Linked DNA regions of Canis lupus familiaris. The protein of the gene in region 1 purifies or fractionates together with the protein of each later gene. This does not show direct contact. Links are inferred from orthologs where the notes say so. Each region holds a gene or a part of one and is shown in the gene's direction. Other genes may lie near its edges.

Region 1 (3,825 bases):
TTACAAATACTCATCCAGGAATCTGTTTTTAAATGGAGAAAGAAGATAGAAATTCCAAGAAAATATTTTCTTTCTTGAAGTAGGATTTTACTTTGCGTCCTTACTGTACCTTATCACCCCAGTCATACTCAGTTTTTATGATTGACAGGACTTCTAATTCTCAATAAGGTAATAATAGACTATTTTTCTCTCTGCAGGTTCTTGGTGAGATTCAGGAAATTGTGAAAACAGGGCTGTGGGTAGGCGATTGCTTCATTTACACAAGTTCTGTGAACAGATTAAATTATTATGTTGGAGGAGAAATAGTCACCATTGCCCACTTGGACAGGTAACTGAATATTGTTTTACTTTTGTGTCAAGCATTCTAAATCCAGAATTATGTTTTTTAAACAAAATCTATTGCTGGTTTGTAGCAGTGATAGGCTTGATTTTTCAGTGTGTAGCAGTTTTAGTAGGTTGGCTCTTGTTTATCAAAATTGCATCAGTCGAAGTGAAAAGATTCTGAGCAAGAGGCAGGTTGTGTGTGTGTGTGCGTGTGTGTGTGTGTGTGTGTGTGTATCATTCTACTGATTTGGGCCTACTCCTAATTAGTTTCTGTGTCTGTTACAGGACAATGTATCTCCTGGGCTATATTCCTAAAGACAACAGGCTTTATCTGGGTGATAAAGAACTGAACATTGTTAGCTATTCTCTGCTGGTTTCCGTGCTGGAATACCAGACAGCTGTCATGAGAAGGGACTTTAGCATGGCTGATAAGGTTCTTCCTACCATTCCAAAAGAACAGAGGACCAGAGTTGCACACTTTCTGGAAAAGCAAGTAAGAGGGATTTTTTTTTGTTGTTTGCTGGTTTTCTTTTTGGGTGTTTTTTTGTTTTTTTTTGTTTTTTTTTAAAGATTTTATTTATTTATACGTGAAAGACACAGAGAGAGAGGGAGAGGGGGCAGTTTGTGTAGTCTGGGAAGTTAAAACATTTTAAACATAATGATACAGCCTTCCTGGAGATCCAGCTGGACAGAACTTGGATAGCTGTCCAGCAACTCCCTCTTGGCCACCCCATAACCGAGCATTCTTCCTCATTCCAGGGGAGTCTCTTGAAGTCTCAGCTTGGTCTAATGCACCACATCCATAGAGCTGATGAACTTGCCCACAGTGCATACTCCCATCAGTACTCCTTGTCTTAGGGGAGAAGCTAATTTGATAATTACAGTAGTTGGTTTAAAAGCCTGTTTTGATGACTCTGTGGAATATGGAAGACAGTTTTAGATTTCCTGCCCTTTGATGAATCAAGTAGACATAAGACCAGCAGTCAAGTCCTGTAACCATACCCTATCAGTGTCAGGACCTGCAAGCAAAACGTTTGCTAAATGACCCACAGATTAGGAAAAATTGGAAGGAAGCTTTTACATTTAACTGCTTTTCTTTGAGGGACTGGATTACATGATCTCTGAGCCCAGCTTAGTGAGTAGGTTGTGAACAGCTAGGTCTACACCACTGAGCCTCTCTTTGTTCACTCAGCTTTCCAGAATCTTTGTCTTTTTGACATTTGCTTGCTTTTGCATTTTTAATTTACTAGTTTTACATGAGTTTGTTCAGCATCAGTCACCTTCCAGTGCTTAGAAAATAGCATTGCGGGACTGCATTTTGTCTGCTGGTTTGTTCTTAGCAATTAATTTAATGATTCCTTCGTTTTTCTGTCTTCTCATTAAAGAGTATTATTTATTATGTTTAGGCAGTGGGGTTTGTGTGTTAGCAAGGTAGCCTTAGTTCAAGAGAGAGCTAAATGGCTGACTTGCTGTGTGTGGTATACACATATAGACTGCACACACAGTTACATATGTTCTCTGTTTAGGGCTTCAAGCAGCAAGCTCTTACAGTATCCACAGATCCGGAGCATCGCTTTGAACTTGCTCTACAGCTTGGAGAACTGAAAATCGCATACCAATTAGCAGTAGAAGCAGAGGTATGTACTAAGTCATGATTTTCTGTAATTGATTCAAAGGTTAGTAGCTACTTCTTTGTGTTTAGTTTAAGTTCTCTTGTTAAATTTTTCTGAAATGCAAATTAGTAAATCTCTTTGGATGATTGCCTCTATTTGTTCACTTAAAAAATGCATTTTGTTAGTCTTTACATGAATGAATTTTATTGGAGATCTATTTTTAGCATTGTGAATTTGTTTAAGAAAAAGTGTTTTCAGTAGCTTATAGGAGATCTGTTTTGTAAAAGAAGATGTAAGATATTAGATATTGTAGTCTGGGAACTTAGAGTACAGACAGACAAAGCAGTAATTTGCCATTATCCCAAACTAGTGAGAAAGTTGTTGGTTTTAAAGATTTTAATATTTTGACACAATTTAATGATTTTAATGAACTGCTATGTATTAAGGGCCCCCAATTGTGGTTTAAGTCTAGCATTTATTGGTAAATTCATTTCAGATGTGCTAAATAAATTTCAACTACATTGAGATCATCCAAATGTGTAGCATTTTGATTTTTGAGAAGCTACAAATAACAGATAACATCATTGTTAAATATTTAAGAATATAAAAAACAATGCTCTAGACTTTCCAGAAATGGTACTAAATCACTCATTAAAATAACTGCAATCTAATTACCTTAAAACTCCAATTAGATAGTATTACTTTTAGTTTTACTGTGTAATTACAAAATTATAATGGGTTGATGATTATTCATGCATCATTAAAATTGATTTGTTTGAATTCATTTTGTATATGCGAATAACTTCCATTTTCTCATTATACATTTTGTCATTCCATTCTTACTTTGATTGATAGAACCAGCTTAATAAGCACAGCTCAGTATATGTATGAAATATCTCCCATTGGCAGCCCAGTAATAGGTTAACAGAAGACTGTTATGTTGAAAATTCAAATGTTTATTTCCATAGATGTTTTAACTTGGAAACTCTTTTTTTACAGTCAGAACAAAAGTGGAAACAACTTGCCGAACTTGCCATTAGTAAATGTCAGTTTGGCCTTGCCCAGGAGTGCCTGCACCATGCACAGGATTATGGAGGCCTGTTGCTCTTGGCCACTGCCTCTGGAAATGCTAGTATGGTGAACAAACTAGCAGAGGGTGCAGAGAGAGATGGCAAGAATAACGTGGCATTCATGAGCTACTTTTTACAGGGCAAGTAAGTATTAATCCAAGGTCTAAGAGTGGTGGGCATAGTAATTTAAAGCACTGGTTTCTGCAGTGACTATGAGGGTGGTTTACAGAGGAAGAATGAACCCTGGAGAGAGAACGGACAGGCACCTGGCCTAGCCCTGGCTAGTAGGGGTAGTCCTAGGAAGGACAGTGCTACCGTGGTGGTGTCCACCTTCAGCAAGGGATGCTCTTGACACATTTGGTCGAAATAAGCAAAATGTGCTGTTTAAGGAGGCTTGGACTGAGAGAAATGTTAAACACCTTTCTCAAAAGCCTGGCCTCTCCCTGGCTGAGCCATTTTATTTTACCACAGCAGGAAGCTATTGTGCTGTTCCTGTAGTACCCAAATGGCCAATAGTTTTACCCAAATTGGGTAATTCTGACCTGTCCATGGCAAGAATAAAGGGGGTTGAGGATGTCAGGTACTTCTAGAATTGAGTCCAGTTGTAAAGCATAAAAATACCATATACTTCTCAAAGTCTAGCAGTTAGTGCAAACCAAATCATCTCATCATTAGTTGACCATATTATGAAATAAAACACAAAATATTCAGTAACCTTGCCCTCCATAGTGACTTTTTTAAACCTCACACTTTATTATCAAAGCTTAGTGTATCCCAATGTGTTTTTATAATATATGTATTTATAAATTTGTATACCT
Region 2 (2,665 bases), on another chromosome or scaffold:
CAGGCTCAGAGATTCTGAGGCAGAGGGTGGGATCTGATGAGTCATAAGTGTCCGAGCCGTAGAAGGCAGACCTTTGGATCCTTAAGGCACTGACTCTAGGCAGGCTTCCAAAGGGACGTGACCTTGCAGCTGACATCCTAAGGTGAGCACTTGGGTCAGGGCATTTCTATTGAAAGGACACCACTTGGCTGTGAGCACCTGAAGGAAAGTCCAGTTACTGTATGTCCCCAGAGCCAAGCACAGTGCTCTGTGTCTAGTGAGCACTTGCCCAATGCGTTGAAGAAAGGGATAAGCAGTGAGTGCAGAGCAGAGGCCCCACAGGTGTGCAGAACAGGAACCCATTCCCCTGGAGGTGTATGCCTAACTTCCACCTCCATCTCCACAGCTGGAAGATCTGGAAATCACTGTTGCTGATCATATCCAAAAGGTCATGAAACTGAACTTTGAAGCAGCCTGGGATGAGGTAGGGGATGAGTTTGAGAAAGAGGAAACATTCACCTTGTCTACTATCAAGACACTTGAAGGTAAAATCCTTGGCTATTGAAATGTGTCCTCCCCTTTCACTCCTCCTGGCCTTGGCCCCCCAGGAACCCAGGGCCATGTTGAGAGTATATACTTCAGATGGCACTTCATGAAAAGGCCCTTAGAGAGGGCCTGGCTGGCTCAATAGAACAGCATGTGACTCTTGATCACAGGGTCATGAGTTTGAGCCCCACATTGAGTGTAGAGATTACTAAATAAAATTTTTAAAAGCGCAACTTAGAGCAGGCTTAGAGGATGGGGGAGTGGTGGTGACACAAAGGTAGAAATGAGATGTGGCTTAATGATGCTGGGATTTCTCCCTATAGAGGCTGTGGGCAATATCGTGAAATTCCTGGGAATGCATCCTTGTGAGAGGTCAGACAAAGTGCCAGATAACAAGAACACCCACACATTGCTTCTGGCTGGTAAGCAACACTTCTAGGTGGGAAGGGCCTACGTAGTTTACAGTCTGCATGCTACTGTGCCCTGGGTTGAGGGCTCCCACTGGGAACATGGGGATTCAAATTTATAGCATTGAAGATTCACAAAGTAAGGGGCACCTGGGTGGCTCAGTCGGTTAAGCGTCTGCGTTCAACTTAGGTCATGATCTTAAGGTCCTGGAATGGAGCCCTGTGTCCGTCTCTCTGCTCAGTGGGGAGCCTGACACTCCCCCTGCTTGTGCTCTCTCTCACTCTGTAGAATAAATAAAATCTTTAAAAACACAAAAAAGAAAATTCATAGAGTAAAAAAAGCCCAGCAGTGAAATATCCGACCCTTGCTGCCTGTCATCTATCTAGTTCCTTTCCGACAGGTGACTGATCAGCATTGTTATTATAAACAGTGATTTTATGGATACGAACACTGACATGCACAATTTCCTATTTTAACTCAGATGTTTACGTGTAAATAGTATATATATTGTCTTTCCTATGCTTGGCTGGCTCAGTCGGTAGAGCATGTGATTCTTGATCTCAGGGTCCTAAGTTTGTGCCTCACGTTGGGGGTGGAGATTACATTAAAAATATATTTAAAAATACATAGAGTTTCCTCTTTTTCTAATTAAAAATATATTTAAAAATACATAGAGTTTCCTCTTTTTCTAATTGTAGTAAAATGTACATAATGTAAAATTTACCATTTTAAGCTCAGGTATACAGCCCAGTGGCATGAAGTATATCTGCATTATTGTGTAGATATTAGCACTGTTCTTCTCCAAGACTTTTTTATCATCCCAGAGTAAATCTTCATACTTTTTTGTAGCTTCCTTATATTCCATTGTATGGGTGTACCATAATTTATAGAATCAGCCTGTATTGATAAATATATAGATTGTTCCAGGCTTTTTGCTATTACAAACAATGCTACAGTGACTAATCATGCACACACACATACTTTATTTTGCATGTATTCCCTGAGGATATCTATAGGATAAACTTCCCAAGGCATTACCAGGTCAAAGCGCATTTCTCATTTTGATATAAATTTCTAGTTGCCTTCTTTTTTTTTTTTTTCTAGTTGCCTTCTATTGGAACTGTATGCCTTTCCTTCCACACTGTGGACAACATAGTATGTTATCAGTATAATACAGTAATCAGTAATATACAGAGTATATTATCAGGTCATTATCAAATGATCTTTGCCAGTCTGGGTGGAAAATGGTATCTTAGTGTAGTTTTTATTTTATTTTATTTTTTAAATTTTATTTATTTATTCATGAGAGACACACAGAGCAAGGCAGACATATAGGCCGAGAGAGAAGCAGGCTCCATGCAGGGCGCCCGATGTGGGACTTGATCACAGGTCTCCAGGATCACACCCTGAGCCAAAGGCAGATGCTCAATGGCTGAGCCACCCAGGTGTCCCTGTAGTTTTTATTTTATATTTCTTGTATATTGAAAGAAGTTAAGCATTCTTCCCAAATATGTGTGCCATTTGTATTTCTTTTTCTGTGAATTATTTCCATATCCTTTCTCAAATTCTCTACTAGGTTGATTGGTCTTTTTTTAATAGGAATGGTATTTTAAGAAGTCAACATGGAAATTTTCAAACTTACACAAAAATTGAATGCTATAAAAAAAAAAAAATTGAATGCTATAATGAGCCCTCATGTGCTCATCTTCCAGTTTCAGTAACTTAACAGCAT

Evidence for each region. Proteins that work in one complex are often made in the same cells at the same time.
Region 2: the proteins of COPB2 (region 1) and COPG1 purify together in Homo sapiens (co-immunoprecipitation; 8 studies listed by BioGRID and IntAct, counting the BioPlex papers as one, with this or other methods). This does not show direct contact. The link is inferred for Canis lupus familiaris from reciprocal best matches to the Homo sapiens genes COPB2 and COPG1.

Annotation. Positions count from the first base shown.
Region 1 is NC_049244.1:36,073,209-36,077,033, reverse strand, and holds part of COPB2 (coatomer subunit beta'), read left to right. Parts: intron 1-197; coding exon 198-328; intron 329-609; coding exon 610-817; intron 818-1,850; coding exon 1,851-1,961; intron 1,962-2,936; coding exon 2,937-3,151; intron 3,152-3,825. UniProt on the Homo sapiens protein: The coatomer is a cytosolic protein complex that binds to dilysine motifs and reversibly associates with Golgi non-clathrin-coated vesicles, which further mediate biosynthetic protein transport from the ER, via the Golgi up to the trans Golgi network.
Region 2 is NC_049241.1:2,861,657-2,864,321, reverse strand, and holds part of COPG1 (coatomer subunit gamma-1), read left to right. Parts: intron 1-385; coding exon 386-524; intron 525-848; coding exon 849-947; intron 948-2,665. UniProt on the Homo sapiens protein: The coatomer is a cytosolic protein complex that binds to dilysine motifs and reversibly associates with Golgi non-clathrin-coated vesicles, which further mediate biosynthetic protein transport from the ER, via the Golgi up to the trans Golgi network.